4 linked regions of the Saccharomyces cerevisiae S288C genome follow. The gene in region 2 interacts genetically with the main gene of each other region. Each region holds a gene or a part of one and is shown on either strand. Other genes may lie near its edges. The genes, in order: ALG14, NEO1, PTM1 and BCK2.

The links.
Region 1: mutations in NEO1 (region 2) and ALG14 together harm fitness more than expected from each alone (negative genetic interaction), as found in Saccharomyces cerevisiae (2 studies listed by BioGRID).
Region 3: mutations in NEO1 (region 2) and PTM1 together harm fitness more than expected from each alone (negative genetic interaction), as found in Saccharomyces cerevisiae (2 studies listed by BioGRID).
Region 4: mutations in NEO1 (region 2) and BCK2 together harm fitness more than expected from each alone (negative genetic interaction), as found in Saccharomyces cerevisiae (2 studies listed by BioGRID).

Annotation. Positions count from the first base shown.
Region 1 is NC_001134.8:378,680-385,319, forward strand, and holds ALG14 (N-acetylglucosaminyldiphosphodolichol N-acetylglucosaminyltransferase anchoring subunit ALG14), read right to left. Parts: upstream 1,256-6,640; coding exon 542-1,255; downstream 1-541. Other genes in the region: YBR071W (uncharacterized protein), read left to right, coding at 1,732-2,367; chaperone protein HSP26, read left to right, coding at 3,351-3,995; YBR072C-A (uncharacterized protein), read right to left, coding at 4,181-4,342; DNA-dependent ATPase RDH54, read left to right, coding at 4,433-6,640. UniProt on the Saccharomyces cerevisiae protein: Involved in protein N-glycosylation. Essential for the second step of the dolichol-linked oligosaccharide pathway. Anchors the catalytic subunit ALG13 to the ER.
Region 2 is NC_001141.2:258,253-267,738, reverse strand, and holds NEO1 (aminophospholipid-translocating P4-type ATPase NEO1), read right to left. Parts: upstream 6,303-9,486; coding exon 2,847-6,302; downstream 1-2,846. Other genes in the region: SYG1 (Syg1p), read left to right, coding at 1-2,624; DFG10 (putative polyprenol reductase), read right to left, coding at 6,820-7,581; PCL7 (Pcl7p), read right to left, coding at 7,969-8,826; isoleucine biosynthesis protein MMF1, read left to right, coding at 9,459-9,486. UniProt on the Saccharomyces cerevisiae protein: Flippase that catalyzes the hydrolysis of ATP coupled to the transport of lysophosphatidylserine, phosphatidylethanolamine, and phosphatidylserine from the lumenal to the cytosolic leaflet of the Golgi apparatus membrane and ensures the maintenance of asymmetric distribution of phospholipids.
Region 3 is NC_001143.9:360,915-368,252, forward strand, and holds PTM1 (Ptm1p), read left to right. Parts: upstream 1-1,707; coding exon 1,708-3,279; downstream 3,280-7,338. Other genes in the region: NFU1 (Nfu1p), read right to left, coding at 144-914; RGT1 (Rgt1p), read left to right, coding at 4,691-7,338.
Region 4 is NC_001137.3:513,010-521,319, forward strand, and holds BCK2 (Bck2p), read left to right. Parts: upstream 1-5,206; coding exon 5,207-7,762; downstream 7,763-8,310. Other genes in the region: aminophospholipid-translocating P4-type ATPase DNF1, read left to right, coding at 1-4,450; CCA1 (tRNA adenylyltransferase), read right to left, coding at 8,020-8,310. UniProt on the Saccharomyces cerevisiae protein: Dosage dependent suppressor of PKC1 deletion and MPK1 deletion. Involved in cell lysis.

The sequences.
Region 1 (6,640 bases), on a different chromosome or scaffold from region 2:
ATGTTCAGACACTGTCAAGTTAAAGAATATAACCTGGAGGTTTTCTTTTCTTTTTGTCCATCAAAATGCACTTTTTTTGAAAAAAAATGCCTTGTCAAGATAATGTGAAGTTTACTGGAAGGGCCCTTTCCTCATCGGGTTGCCGGCCCTGACTGACCTTTTTTGTATTTTTGGCCGTCCCGGCGCGGCGAAGAGTGAGACGACACCAAATAGCCGTACGGCAATAATCCTCGTGCAAAAATCTCTAAGACCGGTGTCGCATTATCCTTTACACACCAAATTTGGTGCCGTAATGCATTATGCATACACTGTGCAATTATGCAGACATGAAATGTGATTGTTTGCTTTGTATACGTAGTAATTGTAAGTAAGTGATTTACTGATTTACTTTCTGGTTAGCAGTGGTAGTTTTAATGCGTTGGCCGGATTGTTTATATTTTGTGAAGCAATCCTGGAAATTTTAAGCATCAAAGAAGGTGCGGTGCCACCATAAGACTTCAAAAATAGTTGGAAGTTTTACTATCCTACATAAATGGTTTACTTAAACAAGGATGCCGAACCACTTGGATCTTGGTAAATAATTGTCCCTCAATTCTTGCCACTGGACAATGAATTCATCCACTACCCAATATAATATTTTTCCGGTCAGACTAGGAGTATTAATCCTTGCCAGCGATTCTACATAAACTATATGGGAGGAACCCAACAGGGGCAAAAGAAGTTCCATAATTTTCAACCAAAAGGATATTATACAGCATGTTCCAGGCCCATTCAATAAAAACAGATGAGGGGAACCACACATAGCAAATCTGATTCTAACCACGTGCACAAAAGATTGTACCAACGTTCCAATGATGGTCTTTACACTTTGTAGGAGAGTCGCTTTAACTTCCCTAGCTTTCATGAATTCATAGTATTTTACTTTGCAATGACCAAATTTTTTTATAAAGTGGGCGAATCTTTGCCTGGAAGCCTCATCAGAATAACCCAAGTACACAATCGACTTACCCAGTAAAAGATCCTGGTAATTTTCTAGAAGACGGATCATTTCACCAGTATGACCTCCCGATCCTAAGAATACAAAAATCTTGAGCGGTTTCTTTGACGATTTTCGTATTTTCAGTAGGTTAACTCCATCTTTCGTATCCTTTTCTGTACCTGCTTGAGTGTGGAAAAAAGGCAGAATCGCTATCAACCTAATAACATATGCTGTCGATACGATGAGCACCAATGACGCCAAGTAGGCCGTTTTCATGATCTTCAAGTCACTTCTTTCGACTTTCCTGATACAATAATAAACCGCCGATTACAGTTATTGCGGGCCCTTGTACATGAAATATTAGGATGGCTTCGCTAAGAACATTTTTGCTTCTGGACAGACAGAACACGTAAAAAAAGAAACACGAAATTACGACTAACTTTCGCGTAGGGGTAAAATTACCTAATGCGCGTAATTAAAAAAAAAAGCACAGCAGTGTAAATTGGAGCAATAGGAGAAAATGACCTGTAAAGGAAGTATTCGAATTCACTAGTGCGGATATTAATAGAATTCATAATTTCGCGCTTGGCTGCTCATTATATTCTTGACTATTTGCCAAACTGTTATAAAGAAGCCTCAATATTCGTTTGGTTTATTGTTAAAGAAGGCGCAAGCTCGGCACGAGAAATATACGACGATAAAGAACATACCAACTATATATTGTGACGGCACAAAAAGACAAAATACGTAAAATGCTAAGACGCTCTAAAAATTCCAGCACTAACACAAACGCAGACACCAAGAAAAGACAATCCATGCATTTAGGATCCAAAAGTTCGCTAATCTCGCTGACTAGCGAATTTGGCCATGGACACTCCAAGACGAAGCAGAAAAAGGAGGAGGGCACAGCTCCTTCTCAATTCCTGTCTCCTACGAATAAGAGAAGCACATCTAGTCAGTCAAAGTTAAAAAGGAGCAGCTTGTTACTGGACGAAACACTGCTTAAAGACTACCACTCGGCCATGAGGCACATGCAAACAAACGCTGCAAAGGAAGAAAAGCTGCGGATGGCTCCATCACCAACGCAGTCAACGAGGAGCGAATCAGACGCCAGTCTTTCCTCCACCAAGAGCTCGATCTCTTCCATATTTTCCCAAGATAATGACTATTCCATTCACGATTTGTTGTACGAAGATATTGAAGAGATGGATAAAACAGACGCTTTCAAAATTAACAACACAATAGCAATCGATGATTCTAAAGCTCTCTTTGTCTTCTGTTCAAACGACTCCTCCTCAAGGACAGCGTCTATCGAAACATTGCACGAATCAAATTTGGACAACCTGGATATGGGTTCCAGTAGAAGGACATCGTTGGACTTTTTTTAATATAACCTACCATAGGACACACTTTGTTGTTGATGTTGGACAATTCGTTAATTAAGAGTCCCTAAACGGCTCTACTAGTTCCAACCTCACTTTGTTTTTTCATTTTTTTATGTTTTTTCTAGAACCTTCTTTACGTGATTCTCGCTCGGAATCCGTCAATAGAATGTTTTCAGTCTCCGTTTCAATATTCTGCGCACATCAATCATTTTCTTACTACATACACTAACATTACTCCTAGTTTAATTTAATTGAATTTTTAACTTTCTTTTCTTTTCATTTGGCAATTTGGCTCCTTGAAAACAAGACTATGGGTCTCTCTCATAAGCCTCAGGGGGGGACCCCAAAAAAATAACGCGGCCATCTTGCATGCACCGTTGAACCTGTAGCTTACAGTAAGCCACAATTCTCTTACCTTCTTGGCAATGTGGCACAAAATAATCTGGTTATGTGTCTTCATTTGGTAATCACTGGGATGTTACTGGGGCAGCAGCAACTCCGTGTGTACCCCTAACTCCGTGTGTACCCCTAAAGAACCTTGCCTGTCAAGGTGCATTGTTGGATCGGAATAGTAACCGTCTTTACATGAACATCCACAACCAACGAAAGTGCTTTTTCAAGCATTGCTTGATTTCTAGAAAGATCGATGGTTATTCCCTCCCCCTTATGCGTCCAAAAATATAGGGTGCTCGTAACAGTAAGGTATTCGCACTTAGCGTGCTCGCAACACAAAATTAAGTAATATGCGAGTTTTAGATGTCCTTGCGGATCTATGCACGTTCTTGAGTGGTATTTCATAACAACGGTTCTTTTTCACCCTTATTCCTAAACATATAAATAGGACCTCCATTAGTTAGAGATCTGTTTTTAATCCATTCACCTTTCATTCTACTCTCTTATACTAATAAAACCACCGATAAAGATATATCAGATCTCTATTAAAACAGGTATCCAAAAAAGCAAACAAACAAACTAAACAAATTAACATGTCATTTAACAGTCCATTTTTTGATTTCTTTGACAACATCAACAACGAAGTTGATGCCTTTAACAGATTGCTGGGTGAAGGCGGCTTAAGAGGCTACGCACCAAGACGTCAGTTAGCAAACACACCCGCAAAGGATTCTACTGGCAAGGAAGTTGCTAGACCAAATAACTATGCTGGCGCTCTTTATGATCCCAGAGATGAAACCTTAGATGATTGGTTCGACAATGACTTGTCCCTGTTCCCATCTGGTTTCGGTTTCCCTAGAAGTGTCGCAGTTCCAGTTGATATTTTGGACCATGACAACAACTACGAGTTGAAAGTCGTGGTTCCTGGTGTCAAAAGCAAGAAGGACATTGATATTGAGTACCATCAAAACAAGAACCAAATTTTGGTTTCTGGTGAAATTCCATCTACCTTGAATGAAGAGAGTAAAGACAAGGTCAAGGTCAAGGAGAGCAGCTCTGGTAAGTTCAAGAGAGTCATCACTTTGCCAGACTACCCAGGTGTGGATGCAGACAACATTAAAGCAGACTACGCAAATGGTGTTTTGACATTAACAGTTCCAAAATTGAAGCCTCAGAAGGATGGTAAGAACCACGTCAAGAAGATTGAGGTTTCTTCTCAAGAATCGTGGGGTAACTAAAGTGACCTGGCTCTATAGTGTTGTCCCTCTCGCGAGGACCATTGTTGCTTGCATATGGGCTTGAAACATATGGTCATCACATCTGAGCGATTTTACCTCTTAGAATTAGTTTAGATATATATGAGTTGATGAATAAATAGTTATAAAAACTTGCTTTGGCTTCGATATATGACCGTTATTTTTGACTAAGTTTTAACGAAGGAATCTAACCTCGTTCTTGTAATTACCAAAATCTTCAACAACGCGCTGTTGGAGGTATCTCTATGGATGTGGCTTGAAATATGGATGTCTTGCCTACTTCTACTTCTGGGAAAGGCATTTTTACTCGATCGCGTTAATATATGCATCAAGAAAATAAAAAATAAAACGCGAAGAGCTAAAAAAAAAAAAGAAAACCTACTATAAATAACCGATTAGAATCGAGTTTTTGTATTGAAATGGCGGTAATAAGCGTTAAACCTCGACGAAGAGAGAAGATCCTACAGGAGGTAAAAAACAGCTCGGTATATCAAACGGTATTTGATTCCGGTACTACTCAAATGCAGATACCGAAATATGAGAACAAGCCATTCAAGCCTCCAAGAAGGGTTGGATCAAATAAGTACACACAACTCAAACCAACCGCCACTGCAGTCACAACAGCCCCTATATCTAAAGCCAAAGTTACTGTCAACTTGAAAAGAAGCATTTCGGCGGGACCTACTTTAAATCTTGCCAAGAAGCCGAATAATCTGTCCTCAAATGAAAACACTAGATATTTTACTATCATGTACAGGAAGCCTACTACCAAAAAGCACAAGACTTGGAGTGGTGATGGCTACGCTACCTTAAAAGCCAGTAGCGATAAGTTATGCTTTTATAACGAAGCAGGGAAATTTCTTGGGTCAAGTATGCTACCAAGTGATTCAGATTCTCTCTTCGAAACTCTTTTCAAAGCAGGCTCCAATGAAGTACAATTGGATTACGAATTGAAGGAAAATGCAGAAATACGTAGCGCCAAAGAAGCCTTATCACAAAACATGGGAAATCCCAGCCCACCGACCACAAGCACAACAGAAACAGTGCCTTCTACGAAGAATGACGGTGGCAAATACCAAATGCCTCTGTCTCAGCTGTTTTCACTAAACACTGTGAAAAGATTCAAATCAGTAACAAAGCAAACAAATGAACACATGACCACAGTACCTAAAACCAGTCAAAATTCCAAAGCCAAAAAATATTATCCAGTATTTGATGTCAACAAAATCGATAATCCTATAGTAATGAACAAAAATGCAGCCGCTGAAGTTGACGTAATTGTTGATCCATTACTGGGCAAATTCTTGCGCCCTCATCAGAGGGAAGGGGTGAAGTTCATGTATGATTGCTTAATGGGCTTGGCAAGACCAACTATTGAAAATCCGGATATCGATTGTACTACTAAAAGTTTAGTGTTAGAAAATGACTCAGATATTAGTGGATGCCTTTTGGCTGATGATATGGGTTTAGGTAAAACACTAATGAGTATAACTTTGATTTGGACATTAATTAGGCAAACTCCTTTTGCATCAAAAGTTTCATGTTCGCAATCAGGCATACCATTAACTGGACTTTGTAAGAAGATTTTAGTCGTTTGTCCCGTTACTTTAATAGGAAATTGGAAAAGAGAATTTGGAAAATGGTTAAATTTGTCAAGAATAGGTGTTTTGACATTAAGCTCAAGGAATTCTCCTGATATGGATAAAATGGCTGTCAGAAATTTTTTAAAAGTGCAACGAACTTATCAAGTCTTGATTATTGGCTACGAAAAACTCTTGAGTGTTTCTGAAGAATTAGAGAAAAATAAACATTTGATTGACATGCTGGTGTGTGACGAAGGCCATCGACTAAAAAACGGGGCTTCTAAAATTTTAAATACGCTGAAGAGTTTAGACATAAGAAGGAAGCTTTTGCTTACGGGAACTCCTATACAAAATGATCTTAATGAGTTTTTCACTATTATAGATTTCATAAACCCAGGAATCCTTGGAAGCTTCGCTTCTTTCAAAAGAAGATTCATTATCCCTATAACTAGAGCCAGAGACACTGCAAACAGATACAACGAAGAATTGTTGGAAAAGGGGGAAGAAAGGTCAAAAGAGATGATAGAAATTACGAAAAGATTTATTTTGAGACGAACAAATGCGATTTTAGAAAAGTACCTTCCTCCAAAGACGGATATAATTTTATTCTGTAAACCATACAGCCAACAGATATTGGCATTCAAAGATATTTTGCAGGGCGCACGTTTAGATTTTGGACAATTGACGTTCAGTTCTTCGCTAGGACTAATAACATTACTGAAAAAGGTTTGTAACTCTCCTGGATTGGTTGGCTCAGATCCCTATTACAAATCACATATAAAGGATACCCAATCTCAGGACAGCTATAGTCGTTCTTTGAACTCTGGTAAGTTAAAGGTATTAATGACATTACTAGAAGGTATTAGGAAGGGTACCAAGGAGAAGGTCGTCGTAGTGTCTAACTACACTCAAACATTGGATATAATTGAAAATTTGATGAATATGGCTGGGATGTCACATTGCAGACTCGACGGTTCCATACCTGCTAAACAAAGGGACTCTATCGTCACATCTTTCAATCGGAATCCAGCCATATTTGGATTC
Region 2 (9,486 bases):
TTCGCCGCTACAAGGAGAAGCTGGATGCCGAAGAAGAGCAATCCAGCTCCTACCGGAGCTGGATGCCCTCTGTGTCGGTATACCAGACTGCATTTCAGCAGAGAGAGCCCGGCAAAAGTCGCAGCGACGGAGACTATCGCTCCGGACCTGCGTTCAAGAAGGACTATTCTGCTTTGCAGAGGGAGTTCGTTGCTGACTTCATTGAAGACTGGTTGATCTCGTTCCAGTTGAGTAAGTGTAACGAGTTTTACCTTTGGTTGCTAAAGGAGTGCGACAAGAAGTTTGAGGTTTTACAGTCGCAACTGCACTATTACTCGCTGCAGAAGAATTATGAGCGCGACAACTTGAACCGGTCTAGTTCGAATGTTGACATGTCCACGAGTCTATATGCGGCAGGGCTTGCTGGTCGTTCTGACTCCAGGGTCAATAGCATCGACAGCGATAGCCGGTCTGTTATGTATGGGTCAATGCCCTGCACCAAAGAGGCCAAGAAGCCGCGTTTGTCGCTGCTAGCGTACTGTCAGAAAGTTCTTAAGGACAATAGGCTGCTGCCATCGTGGCCCAAACGTGGATTTTCTCTGCTACAGGACTTGAGACAGGATGCGTCCTCAAGAGGCCGCGAGACGTTTGCTTTTGGCGCTTCTTTTCTGGAGACTATGACGACAACCCAGGCTAGAAACTTGTTAAGCAACGCTATAATCGAGTACTATCTGTACTTGCAATTGGTCAAATCGTTCCGGGATATCAACGTCACCGGGTTCCGTAAAATGGTCAAGAAATTCGACAAAACGTGTCACACAAGAGAGCTGACCACGTTCATGTCGTACGCCAGGACCCACTACACCCTTTTCAAGCACGCGGATGCCAACGTGCAGTTGGTGGCACAGAAGATGCAACAAATAACCAGTTCGCAACCAACACCCACTTCGGAGCTCTCTTCCGCCCAAAGAGACAAAGAGCCCATCACTTGGTTGGAAACGCAGATCACCGAGTGGTTCACCACTGCGTTGACCAATTCGCCTAAGGACAGGAAGCACAATACCCATAAGTTGAAGAAATTGACCATTCAGTACTCTATCTCCGAACAAATGGTTCATAGAAACAACAGATCGATTGTGCAGATGCTGGTTGTCGGGCTGGGCATAGGTGTGTCAATGACTTTGATCACTTACACTTTGTATTTGGGCATTAGCTCTGAAGAAACGTCATTTACGCACAAGATTCTGTTCCCACTGTGGGGTGGTTGGTACATGGTTTTGTTGATCGCGTTTCTCTTTCTTGTTAATTGTTTTATCTGGCATAGAACCGGGATTAATTATAGATTTATTATGCTGGGTGAGATTCAATCCAAGAATGGTACGCAATTTTTCAACAATGATTTTGCCACGAGTAAAATTCCGCTCAAGTTGTATTTCTTGACATTCTTCATAGTACCTTGTGCGGTCTGTTCCATGTTAAGTTTCGCTTTGGAGAAGCTCACACCCTTAGGCTTTTTATATATTGGTATTGTGTCTTTCTTATTTTTATGTCCCTCTGGTCTAATTCCATATTGGGACAAAGTTGTACACACTAGAAAATGGCTGGTGGTTACTCTTATTAGACTGATGATGTCTGGTTTTTTCCCTGTTGAGTTTGGTGATTTCTTTTTGGGAGATATTATTTGTTCGTTGACGTATTCTATTGCCGATATTGCCATGTTCTTCTGTGTTTACTCTCATACGCCCAACAATCTATGTGGCTCTTCACATTCCAGAGCAATGGGTGTTTTATCATGTTTACCAAGTTATTGGAGATTCATGCAATGTTTACGAAGATTTGCTGATTCCGGTGATTGGTTCCCTCATCTTTTGAACGCGGCGAAATACACTTTGGGTATAGCGTATAATGCCACACTTTGTGCTTACAGATTGTCAGACCGTTCTGAACAAAGGAGAACCCCTTTTATCGTGTGCGCTACGTTGAATTCGATCCTTACTTCCGCCTGGGATTTAGTTATGGATTGGTCCTTTGCTCACAATACTACTTCTTACAATTGGTTGCTAAGAGACGACTTGTATTTAGCTGGTAAAAAAAATTGGGAAAACGGCAGTTATTCATTCAGTAGGAAGTTAGTTTATTACTTTGCTATGATTTGGGATATCCTCATTAGATTTGAGTGGATTGTATACGCAATTGCTCCTCAAACAATTCAGCAGAGTGCTGTGACGTCGTTTATATTGGCCCTTTTGGAGGTTTTAAGAAGATTCGTTTGGATCATCTTCAGAGTCGAAAATGAACATGTTGCCAATGTTCACCTATTCAGGGTTACCGGTGACGCTCCTCTGCCTTATCCAATTGCGCAGGTCGGTGATGATTCTATGGATAGTAGTGATTTGGGTTCAAAAGCCTTTTCATCACTTAACGACATACCTATCACGCCTTCACATGACAATAATCCTCACAGTTTTGCCGAACCTATGCCCGCTTACCGTGGGACTTTCAGAAGAAGGTCCTCCGTGTTTGAGAACATTTCGAGATCCATTCCTTGGGCACATGCAACTGATTTCCAAAGACCAACTGTCAATACCGTGGATGATAGGTCTCCCGAAACAGATAGTGAAAGTGAAGTGGAAAGTATTATGTGATTTGGGCTGGACATGATATTTGCTATTGTTAACCTGCTAAAGATGCTTATTTGAGGAAGTACAAAGAAAAGAAAATAAAAAGTAAAAGAAAAAAAATGTAACAAAATAATATTATGCATAATCTATATCTTCTTTGTAAAAATAAGAATTTATATTTTGAAATATGATAGATTTTTTTAAGATAATCCGTTGAAGCAACAAGAAAAATCCAAACCAATTGAATTATGGAGTGGCAAACTCTTGCACTTTTGCATAACTTGGAGGATGTAGCCTTCTATAAATTGCCTTTGCCGTCCAGACAGGAAAGATCGAGATGAGTAATATAACTAAAAGTCCAGCATAGTAATTTACGGTAGTCATATAACCTAAATCAAAATAATCGCCAAGAAATGGAACCGATACAATGTAAAATAGTAAAGTAGCAATTTCAGTGACGAGCATTGTTTTATTCCATGTGTAGATTTCTAAGGCAACCATTATTAATTCATTTACAACCAAAGCAGTGAAGCTGATAGCAACCATCCTTGTGAAATCAGTATCTAATAAACTCGTAAAGGCCTGAGAAAATAATTGAATTACAGAACCTTGGAATAGCGATAATAGAACCCAAACAAAGAACGTCTTATATGATAAGCTCTTACCTTCAGTCAATTCTTTGTACAATTCTGGGTATATTTTAGTCAATGACTCTTCGATATCGTGATCAAGAGTTAATGAAAAGACTGGAGCCATTGTATAGCAGGTAGCATAACCGACCATTAACCAACCTTGATAAAGAGCAATAGGTTCGAACAACGAACAGATGGAATATACCGCTTGGCAAATTGCAATGATTAAACCTCTATGCATGACAAATTGAGCCAATTTAGCAGATCTTTTGTAAGAGTTCCTACCATGCCATAATAGTAATTCGGTGAGGTGACAAAATTGCGTTATAGAAAAATCAGCAGCTAAAGAAGCTTGTTTACCTTCTTTACCCACAATCCCTACGCCAACATCTGCACATTGAATCATACTAACATCGTTACCTCCATCACCAATACAGCATACCCTTTTGCCCGTCATTTTACGAATTACCAAAGCAACGTCTGCCTTCTGTTGAGGTGTACAACGGCAAGCAATAACAGTGGGTAAATGAACCACGACATCAAAAAATTCCTGTTCGTAATGTTTCAAAAACATTCCCAGGGATTCACCATCTATTAAAAGACAAGCATTTCTATTGATTTTTAGATACTCCAGCTGATTGAATGCACCTTCCGGTCTTGTGACTTTTGTTATCGTATGAACATATTGGCCACGAGATATTAATTTTGCACTTATGGAAACACAACGAGCAGTTTCAACTTTATCACCTGTCAGCATCCAAATCTTGATACCTGCGTTTCTTAATAACTCGATAGAGGACTTCACATCCTTCTGTAACTTATCTTCTACACCAGTTAGACCCAATAATTCAAGATCATGCTCTAAATACTTGGTGATAACTTGACTCATCTGTTGATCACGATTTAGCATTGACAAAGAGGCATCGTTGTATTCTTTTTGAAATTGCTCGTAAATTTTCTTGTTTAATTTTTTACGACCGATAACCAAAGTACGTAGACCTTCACGAGCCATATTACCTGTTTCTTCCTCTAGCCAATCATTGCTTTCCACAATTTTTGACATGACAGTATCGGCCCCTTTTTGCATAAACCAATATTCATCCAATTGCTCATCACGAACAATGATACCCATACGCTTAGAATCAGAATTAAATGGGAATACTTGTAAAATTTCGTAATTTAAAGTCTTACCAGAATGTTCGTGTAATAAAGAAATTGAATGGCGATCTCTTTTGAAAAGAGATAAGCCAACCGACTCGGTAAATTTAACAATAGCAATTTCATCAGGTGATGCCGCTTGATATGTAAGTTCGTCATCCTCAAAAGTGGGAGTAACGTTATGGCAAATTGCTAGAGTTAAAATCATATCACGTACACGAAAAGACATATCCTTTCTTGTTGTTGATAAGGCAACTTTAGAATTGTTCAAAGAGTCATTTTTAGAGCTCACCAGAGATTGTACATAGTCGGATACAATGTCTAATGTTTCCGACGTGTATGATACAGTACCCAAGTGTATTTTCTTCAATTGCATATCATTCTGAGTAAGCGTCCCTGTTTTGTCGCTTAGAAGGTATTCAATACGGCCTAAATCCTCTGGAATTGTACTCGTTCTAACAATTGTTTCAGGAATGGTTTTATCGTGTTCGATCTGATGTGCATAAACACTTTTGGCTAAATCTAAATTAACTCTTAAAGAGACAGGGATGATGGTAGAAAACAATATCAGATACCTCAAAATGTCAATGTACCAGTCGTCATTGTGGAAACCGGCAAATGCAACTAAAAGAATTGACAGGGCAAAAACACATGCACAAAGAATCTTGGAAATACTGTTAATTTCTAGCTCTAATAAGCCAGTTTTAACCTTAGCTGTAGTTGTATTCATAGCTTGCCTAGTATCTCTGCCAGTGTAGACGACACAAGCAATACAAAATCCACTGGAAGCTAGAACAGTATTCGCCCATAGAGTATTATCTACAGACAAAGGGTTTGAAGTGGAATCCTTATAGGTAACTTTACCTAAAAATTTATGAATAGATTTCTCAGGAGCAGAGGCTGTTATACTAATTCTGTTAATTAAGTCATTTTCAGATAGATTTTGGGTCAAGGGACAGGCAACACGTAGTTTCCAGTCAGTCTCCCCATCTAGTTGGTCAGTTTTGATAAATGACTCGCCTGATGGTTCACTTGATTGTAAAAGAACCAAATCAGCGGGAATACGATCACCTTTATGGACTTTTATGAGATCTCCAACTTTTAAGTCTTTGCTTGGTATGGAACGATTTCTCGTTATTACATGATACAGTTCATTGTTTGACTCTCTATCACGTCTCCTTCTCTGAATATCATCTATAGCTTCCTTTGCCATGGTTACTGTCAGCACAAATGCTAAAGGTACAATATACGATGATAAATACCCTATTCTTAGTGCAGGAACGGCCTGCGATAATGCAACTACTAAAAAGTATAAATTGTAAAAGAATTTGAACTGTTCATATAATAGGGTTGGCACAAAAGTAACGGCATTATATTTGGCATTAGATAGTTCATTCGAAACGTATCTATTCCTATCGTACACAGGAGTCGTGTCTGGATGTATTTCTCTTTCGATGTGTTGATCACTGAGTTCTATGGGTGAACCAAACTTGGACCAGTTTTTTGTGTTAGATACTTTTAAATATGAGAGGGCTTTTGAAAAAATATTGTTTGAAGACGACGGTGGTGACGAAGCAATATTAGTAAATTTGAAATTATCATCCTGCGAGAGGCGATTATCATACATCAAAGGATGGGTATCTGTGTTTGAAGACTTACGATGCGAATCCGAAGAATGGTTAGAAAAATTGTCTAAATCATCTACTGTTCTCATTTCAAAACTTTCCCTATCTCCAACAGTGTTATGCTTACTAAGTGGTTCTGGGTTATTATTAATTTGTAAACTGTCTAAAGCAGCGTCAAATGAATCGTCGAGATGTAAGTCAAAAGAATCTACACTGTTTGCGTGTTGATTATTGTTGGAGTTGAATAAATTCTGCTTATGTGACTTAAATGAAGGAGGGTTAGGCATTTGTCTCTGAAGTTTTCCGTGCACACTGATACCCCTTTCTTTTTCAGATTAACGTTATGCCACACAAGTGCTCTGATTGTTACTTTTTCTCAATTGCTTAACGGTATATTGCTGTTAATAAGCTGATTGTTGAGTACTGTATAAGCTTCAAAAATCCAGATGAAATCTTTTATTGCGTAGATCAGGCTTCTAATAGCAGCAAATTCAGGTGAAACAATGCCTAAAATATTAAATAAAAAATAGGTATTGAGTAATTTTGGTCCTCGTTTTAAGTAACGAATGTGTCCGAAATTCCCAAGATGTCTAACCTTTTGTTTGGCAGTGATAGGTCTTAGCCACTGTGCCAGTATTTACTCTTTCCAACTGCCTCAAAAAGGTATGGCCTTACCTTCGTTTTTAATGACACGTATACGAGCCTTTGCTGTCTAATTAGTGGTAAAGTGATAATAGTGAAAGTAAAGTGGTTCTTTACCGCGTCTATATATATATGTATATGAATGCCCTAGTGTGCACATTACTAGATTATAAAAGGTATTATGGCGTAGGGGGCTACGTGATTGTCTTTAAATTTGTGCCTGTAATAATTTTTTGTTTCCAATGCGGATATAGTCAAACTTGTGATTACCCAAACTAGTGTTAGGTAAAATTCTTGTTCATAGGGCAACAGAGTAGAATAAATGATTATTTCATCGAGATAATGAGGACAGCATACCAACCTGAAAAGCCTTCCTGTTGGCAGCGAATATTTAACCAGATTGGCCAGAATAACATGATTTTTGTACTGATCCCAAGATGCTATGCAGAATATGATGAAAGCATTCATGTTTAACGTATTTGGAATGGAGTTCTTGTACAGTGATATATTAAGAATTAACAAGAGTACGGAATAGAACCATATACCGACTAGATAATGGGACCAATTCATCCTAGAATTGCTTGTATAATGTAGTACATAAAGCGTTTCATAAAGTCGGCGCAATGAGTGTCCAAATATGATCCAAACGATGGGGAATTTAGGATAGAAATATAAGGTGACTAAGGATAGAAAGGTAGCCAAATAGTAAAAATGGGAAAAATACGCCTTTGGAACTGTGAACTTCTTGATTCGTTCTAAAATGCTTGAGTACTTTGAATTCTCTTTGGGCCGGTAGGTTTTACCATATTGAAGAAATTCTGGTAGACAACTTTTTGCTATGAAAAGTGAGCAAATGCCTACAAAAAAGGATAATCTATAGGCATATATAGTATATTTTAGCAATTGTTCTTCATCAAAGTACATTGGACTGGTAGATTCTACGTTTTAAGCCAGATCGGTCCGCCGATAAACCTATTTATATTCCACATTTGGTATATTTTTACTTTTTCGAAACGTCCTTAATTCTCATTTTGGAAAAAAAAGAGAAAGCATAATACTGAATAGAACAAGGACCGAATTTCTCTTTACCGGTAGATTATGATTTATTTGGGCAAAAAGTTTTTTTTTTCATTCTATTGCAATAGCTATCATTTCAGGAGAAATGCTACTAATATGAAAAACCACTGATTTAAAAGGAATATTAAATTATTTAAATATAACCGATATGTACGCGTTACGTAAATCAGAAATTGATATGTATAATACGAGTAACGGTAAGGGAAGGGCATGAATAATATGCAGGACAGCATTCTACTGGTCGTTCCAGAATTTATATAACAAGTTTGCATATTTCTGCATTTCTTCGACTGAAACCAATAACTTGAAATCACATAGTATCAGGAATTGTAATTCTAAATGGTTTAACTCTTGCAAAGAAATACCTCCAACCTTGGCGTATCGAGAGTTACTGTAAAAAAAATCACTCAAGAACTTCGTGCAAATTGTGACACCTGTTATGAGCAATCTATGAATGTTCCCGGAGTCCATGACGAATAATTGCTTTGCGCAACCATTACGCTCAGAAGAATGCCCATAATTTTTGGAGATTCTATCGAAATATACAAGGAGAGAAAGAAAAATATCATTTGTGGTGGGACAGTACTTTTGAATTCTCTCTAAGTACTGAACAACAGCTATCTCTGGAACATTCTTTCCATAGAAAGCAAGGATTGGAGTTAAGAGTTCGTCTTCGGTCTCATCCGACACTTGTTGTGAGACATCTGTAGTTTCATCGTTTGCTGTTATAATTCTGTTGAGTAGCGCACTTATCATTAGTATGAGTTCATCTGTGGGAAAGTCTGCTATGTTTAAGATCTTTACATCAGTCTGTTCATTTGTCTCCTCGTCCAGGCTATGCGTTTTTGCTTCCGACTCTAAAGACTTCTTTACAGCTTGTACAGGAGAACAATCTAGTAAAGATTTCGAAGAGAAAGGGCTTTCCAAACTGGGGTTAGTAGATATTTTGGACAGCAAACTACTATTGTTACTTGAAAATGGATCGGTCTTGAAGCTGTGAGAATGTGGTCCGATTATTAGGTTATCTCTATTCCCCCCTGGTATATTTATTGGCGATGTTGTGGTTTTTTTTGATGGTGAACTTAGCTCCATATTTTTCTCTAGTGTAAGCAGTCGTTCGTTCTAGCTCGGTTTGCTTTAGTCTGATTACAGTAATTAATGTCTGTTAACTTTTGTTGTACTATTTTAAGAACCGTAGATGAATATATAGATATACTTTTTGTATATATAAAGGTTTGAGATGTTGAAGCCTGCGCTGCTATCCCCTGCTTTGTTTACACCGTTTTGGACCCATCGCAAGATACCGAGATTCCGAAACCGGCCTCAAAACTCCCAGAGATTAGGCGCGATAGATAGTAATACCTTAAGCCATAGTATGCCTATGGATGCAAAATGCAATGATCACTGTCCATGTTATACAATTAAAAGAGCCCGTAGAAAAGTGCACAGGCGGTGATCTTAGAAGACCAGTGCTGCTTATTGGATAAGTCTCTATCATTGAAGGACGTTATTCACTTTGCTCCTGTGTACGCTCTCATTTGCGGAGATGCGATTCCGCCTCTGTCGCTCATCCAGCGAAAAACACACCGTATGGATCCCCTGATATATATAAATACATATGACTAAATGGGTCTTACACATGCATAAGAATTAGGTTAGCTAGTAAATTGTGTGAGATTTACAGGTAAAAAGGACAACACATACACACAAATATATTACCAATAATGTTTTTAAGAAATTCCGTTTTGAGAA
Region 3 (7,338 bases), on a different chromosome or scaffold from region 2:
AAAAGTTGAGTGCTTTACCCTTTTTCCATGATGACCGTTGAAACATGTACGGACTATCAAGTAATAGTGAGGGTAAAGACAGTATATACACACTTCCTTTTATTTTCGTCTCATCTTGTATTTTCATTTGAAGGACGGAATATTTACTTTTCATGGCTTGTATTTTTACTCGATTCCAACTTTTTTTCAAGCTTATCAAATTCCTTTAATGCTATTTCTTGCTCAGGATCCATGATCTGAATCACTTCTTTCACTTCATCCACATAGTGCTTCAACATGGACTCAATACCGTACTTCAAAGTCACTTCACTAGAAGAGCATGAGGTACATGCACCTTGTAATCTTAAATAAACGGTTCCAGTCTTTGGATCCCACCCACGGTAATCGATATCACCGCCGTCCTCCAAGATGGCTGGTCTTATTCTTGTATCTATCAGCTCTTCAATCAATTCGCTGACCTCTTCATCTTCTTCGGTAAGTTCAAATTTGGGCATATTTATTTTGTAGCCACCTTCTCCTTCTTCTTCTTGGACAGCATGGAATTCTTTGGATATAACATCTTCACCGTAAGCAAGTTGCTTGGTTAACAAATCTATAATTTCAGGCTTGATACTATTCCAATGGACCATTCTGTCTTTATTAATAGTGAGAAAATCATCACCTATCATTAAAGACTCCACTCCTGGACACTGCAAAAAAATTTGCTGTGCTAACTTGGAATGGTTGATGAGGTTTTCATCAGTGTTCTTAATAACTATACTCTTGGAGCCACGCGTCTGTAGCATCTCGCCATCTGTGGAGAGAAATTTTAAAGCATTTTCATTTGGAGTTGTTAAAGTCTTAATATGAATTAATCTCTGAGAATTTAAGTAAAAAATCGGAGACTTCCCCAATTTAGCCACTGATTTGAACATTGTTAGTCAATTTCTTGCTTTTTTGCTTAGATTACGCTGAGAATGCCTTATGTATTCTAATTAGTCCGCTAAATACGCTTCTTTTTATAATGATTAATAAGCAATATTGTAAGTAGATCACTGAAATTCGGAAAACTTAAATTATTTATCACTTGATACGTTAGAAGGCTATTTCTACAATCACCAGGACTCCGCTAAGTGGTCCTATAGATTTGATGAAATGCCTGCTTTGACGGTCTTGATGATACAAGCTAACGCTTAGCATGTTACTATACTCAATGTACATTGTTTTATCCTCAAGAGACCGCAGACGTTTCAATTTTGTGTTTAAAAGAACAATGGACAGTATATACGTAGTGCCAATTTTCTTCTATGGTGTATTATGCGCATTGAACATTGTAATATCCGTAATGTTGAACATAATTTGGGAATTGCTTCCGAATCTTCAACCTTCATGTATACCTCTTTTCGGCTAGAGTGTGGTACTTTAATTACTGCTTAGTTGTTTTGCCCGATTTAGATATTGCACCCGTGCACGTCACACATAAGCTTGGTCTTTTAAATAGTGTGTGAAAAAACGAACTTGAAGAAAAAGATAGAGCAAGATATATATAGGAGTAGGAATAGGGAGAGTGGAAAAAAAAACTTAGCCTCAAACTAATAGTCAAGAGGATCAACTATTCTGTTCAGGTTTTGCAGGTTAAAAATTGAAATAGAATATTTTCTCGGTAATTTCAAGAAACAGCTGGTAAAAAGGCAGTAAATTTACAGAAACTAAGAGTGTAAGGGCACAATGAGAGTATATCAGTTTTGCCGACCTTTCCAATTATTCACCTGCTTCTTATGCTACCTTCTAGTGTTCGTAAAAGCTAACAAGGAAAAGATAAGTCAAAAGAATTATCAAGTATGCGCAGGTATGTATTCCAAAGAAGATTGGAAGGGCAAAATAGACCCGTTTATATCATTCAATCTTAAAAAAATAAGTGGATTGAGTGATGAGTCTGATCCAGGCTTAGTCGTTGCAATCTATGATTTCCAAGACTTTGAGCACTTAGGTGTGCAATTGCCGGATGAAGAAATGTATTATATTTGTGATGATTATGCAATTGATATCGGGATTTGTGAAGAGGAGAATCGTGATGAGTTTATTGTTCAAGATGTTGTATATGATCCATATACTTCCACAAATAGATCTTTGGCCAATCCAATCATGACGTTTTCTCAAAATGAGGTCGGCCTTCATGATACTAGATACCCAATAAAAGAAACCGGATTTTATTGTGTTACTGCGTTCAGATCATCGACGTCTACCAAGTTCAACGCTGTGGTGAATTTCAGGAATGCTTATGGTCAGCTTGCGGGCACCGAGATCAACAAATTGCCACTATATGGTCTTTTGGCGGTCGCATACGTTGTGGCGATGGCGTTATATTCCTTCGCCTTCTGGAAGCACAAGCATGAATTGTTACCATTACAAAAGTATTTGCTGGCCTTTTTTGTATTTTTAACCGCAGAAACCATATTTGTATGGGCTTACTATGATTTGAAAAATGAAAAAGGTGATACTGCGGGAATAAAAGTTTATATGGTGTTCTTGTCGATATTGACGGCTGGTAAAGTTACATTTTCATTTTTCCTATTATTGATTATCGCTTTGGGCTACGGTATCGTGTACCCTAAGTTGAATAAAACGTTGATGAGGCGTTGCCAAATGTATGGTGCGTTAACTTATGCAATTTGCATTGGATTTTTGATCCAAAGTTATTTGACCGACATGGAGGCACCATCTCCACTAATCTTGATCACCTTGATTCCTATGGCGCTTGCATTAATCATATTTTACTACATGATTATTAGATCCATGACAAAAACAGTTATCTATTTGAAAGAGCAAAGGCAGATCGTAAAATTGAACATGTACAAGAAGCTACTATACATCATTTATGCGTCCTTTTTGAGTGTACTAGCTGGTAGTATAGTTTCGTCATTTATTTACGTTGGCATGAACACTATTGATATGATTGAGAAGAACTGGAGGTCAAGGTTCTTCGTTACTGATTTCTGGCCTACGTTAGTGTATTTCATTGTTTTCGTTACCATCGCGTTCTTATGGAGACCAACAGATACTTCATACATGCTAGCCGCATCCCAACAACTACCCACAGACCCAGAAAATGTCGCGGACTTTGACTTGGGCGATTTGCAATCGTTTGACGATCAAGATGACGCAAGTATCATCACTGGTGAGCGTGGCATAGACGAGGATGACCTCAATTTGAATTTTACTGATGATGAAGAAGGACACGATAATGTAAATAACCATAGCCAAGGCCACGGGCCAGTGTCTCCCTCTCCAACAAAATAACGCTACCTCCAGCAGATTTGATTAGGTGATGAGACAAATAGTTTCTTCGAGGGCAGTCACGAAATGTTTACAAGCGAAAAGAAAGAAATTATGAACCATATGCACTTCTGTTCAATGCGATGTGAATATGAATATGAATATAAATATGAATATAAATAAATAAATAAATAAATGCGTTGCACGTTTCTTTTCATTTATTTGTGCGTGCTTTTACCTGTTTATAACTGTAGTCACCAAAGCTATGCTATACTCTAGACCTAACTTTTTCGTTTTGTATTTATTTAGCCGCTCGCTGGAGTTTTTTTTTTTTCGGTGATAAGATGATTTATATCAAACCGAAACAAGCGAAAAGTTTCTGTTCATCGACTATAAAATGGAAGAGAAAATTGGTCCATAGACTTTTCATGTGTACTTGTTTATGAGAAGAGACGCAGGAAGACCAGAAGTGAGGAATTCCCTTTGTTCAAGGATGAACAACGAAGCCAGATAACGTAAGGTTGCGCGCTGCATCAGTGCTAACCTTATTAGCTTTCTCTGGCTTTTTCGGTCTTTCCTATGTAACATAACATGTATATTCTATTTGTTTATGATGAGACCACGTCCTTAGTGACAATGCTATAAACCCAGCTCTTCGATTCGTTTTTAATGAAAGGGAGAAGATTTTTTTGTCAAACGCTCTGAGTAATAGAATATACATGCGACAACATTTGTAGTTACTTGTCTTACGCTTCCTAGGGAACGGATCATCCGAGTAGAATATCATTTTACGGGATCACTTTATTCGGTGTGATTGCTCGTTAAGCCGCACGACCATTTTATGGGCACGCTTCCGCAAGTTGGTTCTTTCATCAGAAGCTTTACCACGATTGGCAAGTCATGTAGCATGTGCGCTAACATCGTTTATCGTTTTCTGTGACGTGGCTTATGAGCACCAGAGACGAATAATCAACAGTACATCAAACAAAAGCTACGTCACCTCACCAATAATCCGAGCTTCTTGAAATGGCAGGTATTGGATTCATAAAATATGTCGCTGCTTTGTGCATTTTCCTTTAGTTTTTTCCTTTTTTTTCATGTAGCTAACTAAGCAAGACGATTATGGGAAGGGACCTTTTAAGGAAAAACAGGAAAAAAAAATAGTAGCAACTAGTAAAAATTCAAAAAATAAAAAAAGTCAAAATAAGAACACATCAGTTAGGAACCGTGCTTGGAGTTTTGAGACTGGAGTATTGTCCATCCAACATATTCTGCTCTTTCACCATAGACTTCGTTGGAAATCGCCTCTCCCTTGTACTATATTGTGCAGAACCGTTCCCGCAATTTTCATTGGTGCAATAATAACACGCTTCTTCGATTCTCACATTTGTCAAGAAGCTGTACTCTTCTCTCAAACTCCAATATATTTCAAATTATGAACGAGCTGAACACTGTTTCGACTAACTCCAGTGACTCCACCAAGAACGGTGGTACATCCAATAGTCCCGACGATATGGACTCCGCAGCAGCAGCAAGTCACGCAATAAAGAAAAGAACAAAGGCCTCCCGGGCCTGCGATCAGTGTCGTAAAAAGAAGATTAAATGTGACTACAAAGATGAAAAGGGGGTCTGCTCAAACTGCCAAAGGAATGGAGACCGTTGTAGTTTTGATAGGGTTCCTTTGAAAAGGGGACCCTCGAAAGGCTATACGAGGAGCACCAGCCATCCAAGGACTAACGAAATACAAGACCACAATAACTCAAGGTCGTATAATACGTTTGATAATAGTAACAATACCCTGAATAATAATACGGGCAATAGCGGCGACAACGGTATAAACAGTAACACAGTTCCAAGTACCCCTTCGAGATCTAATTCAGTTTTATTGCCCCCACTGACACAGTACATTCCCCAGGCTGGTGGCATTCCTCCTAGTTTCCAAAATCCAGCGATACAATCAACTATGCCCGCGGGTAATATTGGCCAACAGCAGTTTTGGAAAGTGCCCTACCATGAGTTTCAACACCAAAGAAAAGGATCTATCGATTCTTTGCAAAGTGATATATCGGTAAGAACATTAAATCCCAACGAGCAGTTGTCTTATAACACCGTTCAACAGTCTCCCATAACGAATAAACATACTAATGATTCTGGAAATGCAAACGGAAGTGTCACCGGCTCAGGCAGTGCCTCTGGTAGTGGTGGTTATTGGTCCTTTATAAGAACTTCTGGTTTACTAGCTCCTACTGATGATCATAATGGGGAACAGACAAGAAGATCAAGTTCCATACCTTCTTTGCTACGAAATACTTCAAATTCTCTTTTACTAGGTGGCCAGCCTCAGCTTCCCCCACCTCAGCAACAATCGCAGCCACAAGCACACCAACAAAAGTTGCAACAAGGACAGAACCTATACTCGTATTCTCAATTTTCCCAGCAGCAACCGTACAACCCATCGATATCATCTTTTGGCCAGTTCGCTGCTAATGGTTTTCATTCTAGACAAGGATCAGTCGCCAGCGAGGCTATGTCTCCCAGTGCACCTGCCATGTTTACTAGCACATCTACAAACCCCGTAAATGTTGCACAGCAAACACAAAGACCTCAAGGACAGCAGGTACCGCAATTTTCATCTGAGTTGGATGGAAATAAAAGGCGACAATCAGCCCCCGTATCAGTAACATTATCCACGGACAGGCTGAATGGTAATGAGAATAATAATGGTGAAATTAACAACAATAATGGCAGCAATAATAGCGGTTCTTCTAAGGATACATCTCAACATTCCCAAGAATCTGTAACTACACCAGCGGCTTTGGAAGCATCCAGCCCTGGATCAACGCCACAGAGAAGTACAAAAAAACGCAGAAAAAGTTACGTATCTAAGAAGACAAAACCAAAGAGAGATTCATCTATATCTATAACATCGAAAGATTCTGCTCACCCAATGACCACTTCATCAACTATCGCGTATGGACAGATATCCGATGTAGATCTAATAGACACCTACTATGAGTTCATACATGTAGGATTTCCGATCATACCTTTAAACAAAACGACCTTGACCAGTGACTTATTGTTAGTTAACACACAGCCAATTTCCAATATACACGAAGTCAATTCATATGTTATTTTGTGGTTTAGAAATTCATTGGAATTGTTAGTTCGTGTTGCTCTGAAACAAAAGCCAGGTGGCAAGTTTTTCGATAATATTGTTGGCGTGGCTTTGTCGCCAAGTAATGACAACAACAAAGCTGGGTTCACTACAGCCACGGCAAGGGATGATGCTGAAAAAACAAGACGTGATTCACATAATGAAGTACAGGATACTTTGGAAGTGCAAAGCGTTTTTATTGCCGCCCTCAATGAATGTTTCCAAAAAATCGTGGATATTCATCCCAAATTCAGAGAAAACAACGACCAAATTTCGCCGAAGATCAAAGTCATTTATTTATCTACTTTTATTCTTTTAAATTACATTTTGGCATTTGTTGGATACGATAACTCATTTGTACTTGGAATGTCGGTGACAATTTTTAACGAATTTAAATTATACAAACTTCTATTATTTCCGGAGCCGGATATAAATGATGTGAAGCCTCCAGTTGATGAAGAGGTCAGCACTGGTAATGGGAATACAAAAACGTCCGAATTTGAAATTGGATCTGAAAGTGCTGGGCATATGAATCCATCCAATTCACCAAATTCCATGGACGAAAACATTAGTCACTATTCAGTGTTGTTTAAAAGATTATACGTTTTGCTTTCAGTGTTTGATTCTTTACAAAGCTGTGCATTCGGTGGTCCCAAGCTATTAAACATTTCCATCCAAGGTTCTACAGAAAGATTTTTTTCTAATGATTTGGGCTCAAAATGGTGCCTGGAACAAAGCCAATTGAGACTGAAAAGCGTCTTGCAAAGCTTGAAATTGGGTGAATTGATGAGTGAGCTTACCAGGAATAGAATATCAATGAACGGCAATAGGAAGCCTGGGTTCGATATTACGAACTCGTCTTCACTCTTATCGGAATATGTGGAAACTCAACCTCTATCCGTAGCACAGTTATTTTGCAAGCTATTAAT
Region 4 (8,310 bases), on a different chromosome or scaffold from region 2:
TAATGGATCTGGGACGTTTGATGATGTGGAATTAGACAATGATAGTGGTGAACCGCACACTAACTACGATGGTATGAAAAGATTCCGGATGGGTACAAAAAGGAATAAAAAAGGAAACCCAATAATGGGAAGATCTAAGACCTTGAAATGGGCTAGGAAGAACATTCCAAACCCATTTGAAGACTTTACGAAGGATGATATTGACCCTGGTGCCATAAATCGTGCGCAAGAACTAAGGACTGTGTATTACAATATGCCCTTACCAAAAGATATGATAGATGAAGAAGGCAACCCCATTATGCAGTATCCTCGTAATAAAATCAGAACTACCAAATATACCCCGTTAACATTCTTACCAAAAAACATTCTATTTCAGTTTCATAATTTCGCCAACGTTTATTTCTTAGTTTTAATAATTTTAGGTGCATTTCAAATTTTTGGTGTCACGAACCCTGGTTTAAGTGCGGTTCCGTTAGTTGTCATTGTTATAATCACTGCGATCAAGGATGCTATTGAAGACTCAAGAAGAACCGTCCTAGATTTAGAGGTGAATAATACCAAGACACATATTTTAGAAGGTGTTGAGAACGAAAATGTCTCAACCGATAATATTTCATTGTGGAGAAGGTTTAAGAAAGCAAACTCTAGACTCCTTTTCAAGTTTATACAATATTGTAAAGAACATTTAACTGAAGAGGGCAAAAAGAAGAGAATGCAGAGAAAGCGTCATGAACTAAGAGTACAAAAAACTGTTGGAACGAGTGGACCCAGATCCTCTCTAGACTCCATTGACAGTTACAGAGTATCTGCAGATTATGGCCGTCCTTCATTGGATTATGATAATTTGGAACAAGGGGCCGGTGAAGCCAATATAGTTGATAGATCCCTACCACCCAGAACTGATTGTAAATTTGCCAAGAATTATTGGAAAGGTGTCAAGGTTGGTGATATTGTTCGTATCCATAACAATGATGAAATCCCTGCTGACATTATCTTACTTTCAACGTCGGATACAGATGGTGCCTGCTACGTAGAAACTAAAAATTTGGATGGTGAAACAAACTTAAAGGTACGCCAATCCTTGAAGTGTACCAATACTATAAGAACGTCAAAAGATATTGCTAGAACAAAATTCTGGATCGAAAGTGAAGGGCCCCACTCAAATTTGTACACTTATCAAGGTAATATGAAATGGAGAAATCTTGCAGATGGCGAGATACGAAATGAGCCAATTACTATTAATAACGTTCTGCTTCGTGGTTGCACTCTTAGAAATACTAAGTGGGCAATGGGTGTTGTAATGTTTACCGGTGGTGACACAAAAATCATGTTAAACTCTGGCATTACACCCACCAAGAAGTCCAGGATTTCAAGAGAACTAAACTTCTCTGTGGTGATAAATTTCGTGCTACTTTTCATCTTATGTTTTGTTTCTGGTATTGCAAATGGTGTATATTACGACAAAAAAGGCAGATCACGGTTTTCCTATGAATTTGGAACAATTGCTGGGTCAGCGGCGACAAACGGTTTCGTCTCATTTTGGGTTGCTGTTATTCTTTACCAATCTTTAGTCCCAATCTCTTTGTACATTTCTGTGGAGATCATCAAAACTGCACAAGCGGCCTTCATTTACGGAGACGTTTTACTCTACAATGCCAAATTGGATTATCCTTGTACACCAAAATCCTGGAATATTTCTGACGATTTAGGTCAAGTGGAATATATATTTTCTGATAAAACAGGTACATTAACTCAAAATGTAATGGAGTTTAAAAAATGTACTATCAATGGTGTTTCATATGGAAGAGCTTACACCGAAGCGTTAGCGGGATTAAGAAAAAGACAAGGTATCGACGTCGAAACCGAAGGTAGGCGTGAGAAGGCCGAAATTGCCAAGGATAGGGATACAATGATCGATGAACTGAGAGCTTTATCAGGAAATTCACAATTTTATCCCGAAGAAGTTACCTTTGTATCAAAGGAGTTCGTTCGCGATTTGAAAGGGGCTAGTGGTGAAGTACAACAAAGATGCTGTGAGCACTTTATGTTAGCATTAGCTTTATGTCACTCCGTCCTTGTAGAAGCAAACCCGGACAATCCAAAAAAACTGGATTTAAAAGCTCAATCTCCAGACGAAGCAGCGTTAGTAGCCACAGCTAGAGATGTAGGATTCAGTTTTGTTGGAAAAACCAAAAAAGGGTTGATAATTGAAATGCAAGGTATTCAAAAAGAATTTGAGATTCTAAATATTTTGGAGTTTAATTCATCGAGAAAAAGAATGTCCTGTATTGTCAAAATTCCGGGTCTGAACCCAGGGGACGAGCCTAGAGCACTTTTAATTTGTAAAGGTGCAGATTCCATTATATACTCAAGATTAAGTCGCCAGAGTGGTAGCAATAGTGAAGCTATTTTGGAAAAAACTGCTTTGCATTTAGAGCAGTACGCTACTGAAGGTTTAAGAACGTTATGCATAGCTCAAAGGGAGTTAAGTTGGTCTGAATACGAAAAATGGAACGAAAAGTACGATATTGCTGCTGCATCATTAGCAAACAGAGAGGATGAATTAGAAGTTGTTGCAGATTCCATTGAACGCGAATTGATATTATTGGGCGGTACAGCTATCGAAGATCGTTTACAAGATGGTGTTCCGGATTGTATAGAGTTGCTTGCAGAGGCAGGAATTAAATTATGGGTTCTTACGGGTGATAAAGTTGAAACAGCTATAAACATTGGATTTTCTTGCAACCTTTTGAATAATGAAATGGAATTGTTAGTTATTAAAACAACTGGTGATGACGTGAAAGAATTCGGATCAGAACCAAGTGAAATTGTGGATGCTTTACTCTCCAAATACTTGAAGGAGTATTTCAACTTAACCGGTTCAGAAGAAGAGATTTTTGAAGCTAAAAAGGATCACGAATTTCCGAAGGGTAATTACGCCATCGTTATCGATGGTGATGCTTTGAAATTGGCGCTATATGGTGAAGATATAAGAAGAAAGTTTCTTTTACTCTGCAAGAATTGTAGAGCTGTCTTATGCTGTAGAGTATCTCCATCTCAAAAAGCAGCCGTTGTTAAGTTAGTCAAGGATTCTCTAGATGTCATGACACTAGCCATCGGCGATGGTTCCAACGACGTCGCCATGATTCAATCTGCGGATGTTGGTATTGGTATTGCCGGTGAAGAAGGTCGACAAGCTGTTATGTGCTCAGACTACGCCATTGGACAATTCAGATATTTGGCTAGATTGGTCCTCGTTCACGGTAGGTGGTCTTATAAGAGACTGGCAGAAATGATTCCTGAGTTTTTTTACAAAAACATGATTTTTGCTTTGGCATTGTTCTGGTATGGTATCTATAATGATTTTGATGGGTCTTACCTGTATGAATACACATACATGATGTTCTATAATTTGGCATTTACATCCCTACCAGTCATCTTCTTAGGTATTCTGGACCAGGACGTGAATGACACAATATCATTAGTGGTCCCTCAGTTATACCGTGTTGGAATTTTAAGGAAAGAATGGAACCAAAGAAAGTTCTTATGGTATATGTTGGACGGATTATATCAGTCTATTATCTGTTTTTTTTTCCCTTACTTGGTTTATCACAAAAATATGATAGTTACGAGCAATGGGTTAGGATTGGATCATCGTTATTTTGTCGGTGTTTATGTGACCACTATTGCTGTAATTTCGTGTAACACATATGTTTTATTACACCAATATAGATGGGATTGGTTTAGTGGATTATTCATTGCACTGTCTTGCCTCGTAGTTTTTGCATGGACGGGAATATGGTCTTCTGCGATAGCTAGTAGAGAATTTTTCAAAGCTGCAGCGCGTATCTATGGAGCACCTTCATTTTGGGCTGTTTTCTTTGTTGCCGTGCTGTTCTGCTTACTGCCCCGTTTCACATATGACAGTTTTCAAAAATTTTTCTACCCAACTGATGTGGAAATAGTAAGAGAGATGTGGCAACATGGCCATTTCGATCATTATCCTCCTGGTTACGATCCAACAGATCCCAACAGACCCAAGGTCACAAAAGCTGGGCAACACGGAGAGAAGATTATAGAAGGCATAGCACTTTCCGACAACTTAGGAGGATCGAACTATTCAAGGGATAGTGTTGTCACAGAGGAGATTCCAATGACTTTCATGCACGGTGAAGATGGAAGTCCTAGCGGATATCAGAAGCAAGAAACCTGGATGACTTCACCCAAGGAAACACAAGATCTTCTTCAATCGCCCCAATTTCAGCAGGCCCAAACGTTCGGAAGAGGCCCATCAACCAACGTCAGGTCATCCTTGGACCGCACAAGAGAACAGATGATCGCCACTAACCAACTAGATAACCGCTACTCTGTGGAAAGAGCGAGAACATCTCTAGATCTACCAGGCGTAACTAACGCAGCCTCCTTAATCGGAACACAACAGAACAATTAATAATGATATCCGAACCATAGCTGATGGAACTCCGCTTTTCACTGTATATATAATATTACATAATATTACTGGATAAGCCTTAGAAGCCTTAGAAGCCTTAGAAGCCTTGGAATTCATGCATACTACAGCGTTAACTCTTTCTTTTAGCAAGTTTTAGTAGCGGACGTGTGGGTTTCTTTGTTCTATAATTAACACTCCCGGTTAACCCGGATCGCTATTATTCAAGGACGCACAATGGTGGGCTAATTTTTTCTTCCGATGGAAAACTGACGCCAGCACTTTCCAGCGCTGGGAACTCTCCACTAACTGGCAAAAAAATTGATTAAGGTCATGATCAAAGGAATTTTTGAAATGTTGTAAAGTAGAGTTAAGAATTAATCAAGCCGTGATACGTATGTTTTTGACTAGGTGAGAGACTATATTTATCAAAAATAGTTTTTTATACTAACAGAAAGTTTATTATATCATAGAAATCCTAGGCCTATTGTTATTATTTGCGTGAAAAAAGGTTCATGCCTAGTTATTCAGGATATTAATCAGGCATAGTCATAGTTTTGTAATACACGTCTTTCACTCCTATTTCCGGTTAACATTCGCTAATATCCATCAAATTATTGACTTTTTTTTCAGTGGATTTGTTGTTAATAAAGGAAACAATCAGATCAGCCATTTAGGGAAGTCTTTTAAGAAAGCTCAGAAGGAGATCTAAGACAAGAAGCAAGGCAGTCTTGATTTATCGCTCAAAACCAATAGCACATGCCGAAGAATAGTCACCACCATCGTTCCAGTTCGGTTAATTCCACAAAGAGTCGTTCTACGGAATCTACGAATAAATGGAAAATTCCGCACTATTATCGCAGATCCGCTAGCGGCAGCACACAAGCTTCGCCGGACAGGAACTCCTCAACAGGCTCATGTAGCACTCCAGTATTACCTACTATGAATGTTATGTCTAGCCCGAAAAAAGTTTTGCTAGAGGATCCCAGAGACAACCATACTAAGGCGAAGAAGAGTAGTAGAAAGAAATCAGGTGAAATGGTCTTCGTCAATTATACTGTACAGGACACGGCTAACGAAAATGATACTGACTTGCAAACCCAGCCGGTTTCTGTGCCAGCACCAAAGGCGAAATTAAAGAAGAAATCCTCCAAAAGGAGAATGCTGAAGATATTTGGATCGTCAAAGAACGAACACATAGAGGACATCGTTGAAGAGCAACCAATGGTGCTTCAAATGGATTCAGAATCTAAACCCCTTTCGGGAACCCCTATCTCAGAAAGCGGAATCGACGCCTCGTCACTAACAACCAAAAGATCTTATAACTCGTTCTTAAAACACAATAGGCTAAACGGTAAAACTCCGTTCTCTGGAAACTTGTCCTTTCCATCATTAAACATGATGGGTAACACTACTGATCTGCCTATTGACAATAACGATTTTTGTTCCGAGAAAGAAGTCGTTCCGAAATCAACTCATGATCCTTCACTAGCAAAACCGCCATCAAGGTTCACTGAAAGCGAAACAAATTCTACTCCCAACTTATCAAGTATACCTCTCATGAACACAAAAAATACAAGATTGAAGTACAATAAAGTGGCGCCTCAGAGTTCAGACCGACAAAAGTCACAGGAAAGTGGGCTATATCATTCTACCGAATCATTCAACTTCAAAGATCAAAACTACAGTAACAATAAATCCTCTTTAAGTCTGAACTCCGATTTAAGTACACCCCACTTTGCAAAGCATTCACCTGATTCACCAAGAACTTCAAGATCTTTCAACTGCGGAGACTCACAAAGTAAAGTTAAATTACCGGAAGAAAATGACGCTTCTATTGCATTTAGTAAGATGTTTACTAGAAAACGAGCCAACACTGGCGGGTCCACGTGTTCGCTAGCCTCACCCACTATTGCACAAACTATTCAGCAATCAAATATAAAAGTTAATAAATTGCCAACTCAGCGAACCACTTCAGTTGGCTCATTATCATCCATGTCAAATCGTTATTCACCAATAAGAGTTGCATCGCCAGGAAGAGCAAGATCCGCAACTCGTGGGTCTTCCCTTTATAGATTATCCAGAGACCTTAATTCTTTACCAAGCGTCACTGATCTACCAGAAATGGATAGTACAACCCCAGTTAACGAAATATTCTTGGATGGCCAACCACAGCATAAAAGTGGCAGTGTCAAAGGAGGGCATAGGAAGAAACAAGAATCTATCTCTGATGCTCAAAGAATTCAACATTCTAATTCGTACATTACAACACCTTCATCTTCTCTGGTGACTCCTCCTTACTACATGACAGGTTACACATTACCAAGTTCTGCATCTGCTTCTTCAACTCCAAATGTGCTTGAAACACACAATATGAACTTTGTTCCAAGTACCAGTACTGTTACAAGTTATCGCCCATCTAGCAATTTTTCCTCATTTGACAAAGAATACAGTAACGAAAACGACGCTAGTGGGGAATTCTCTGCTTTCAATACTCCAATGGAGAATATACCGGCACTAAAAGGTATACCTAGATCCACGTTAGAAGAAAATGAAGAAGAGGATGTCCTAGTACAAGATATTCCGAATACGGCACACTTCCAAAGAAGGGATATTATGGGGATGGATACTCACAGAAAGGATGACAGTTTAGATTTTAACTCTTTGATGCCACACGGTAGTACAACTAGTAGCAGCATCGTAGATTCTGTTATGACGAACTCAATATCCACTACAACAAGCAACGCGACCGGAAACTACTTTCAAGATCAAGATAAGTATACATTGGTAAATACGGGATTGGGATTGAGTGATGCAAACCTCGATCATTTTATTAGATCTCAATGGAAACACGCTTCTCGATCAGAATCCAATAATAATACCGGAAATCGCGTTTCTTACAGTGGCTCAACACCAAACAATGTTGATACAACAAAGACTAATTTGCAAGTGTATACCGAGTTCGATTTTGAAAACCCAGAGTCGTTTTTCCATGAGCAATCGAAGCTACTAGGTGAGATGGGCCACAGCAATAACAACAGCAACAGCGCCATCAACATGAATGAACCCAAGTCTGCGGATACATACATTGGAAATATATCTCCGGATACTTCAGCAACTGTTTCATTAGGCGACCTGATGGGCTCAAACGTTTCAAACAACAGTGAAAGAAATTTTTACGATGGTCATACTTTCGTTCCACAGTATCAGGCGAACTCATCTGTGGAAAACTCAAATAATCAAAATGCAGCACCAATTGCAAATAACGACATTGATAATAATTTACAGTCTTTTTATTTTGATAATAGCAACTAAAAAAGGAATGAAAAAAAAAAAAAAAAGTTCAAAAATAGTAACAGATATCTTTCGAAAAAGTTAAAAACTGGTAAAAAATTTTGAATAGAGTATATAAAAACTAATAAATATGTTTAGTTATCATACACCATAGAATAACTACTAGAGATATTATTTCATTTTCGTTTTCATTTTTTTTATTTTTTTCTTTTCAATAAGGTAACAGAAAGTTATTTATGCATTCTTGTTCTACATGTCTTATGTATACTAATAAGCTACTACAGGTATTTTGGTAGTATGGCTTTTAAATGAGTTATTAATTCTTGATCAGTCCCTGTAGGATTATCAAACTGCCACCTAATCGCTTCGTTATTAATTTTACCCAGCCATGGACCTGGCTTCATTTGAAGTAGTTTTGCCATTTGTTTTCCGTCCACTATTGGTTTTAGTTCATGACAATTATTCAAATTATTGTCAAATATGTAAGAATAAAATTCATTGTAATTTTGGAAAAGTAATTCAATTTTTTTAGTTTCAAGCTTGGGAATCTTTAAAAATGCATCTGATAG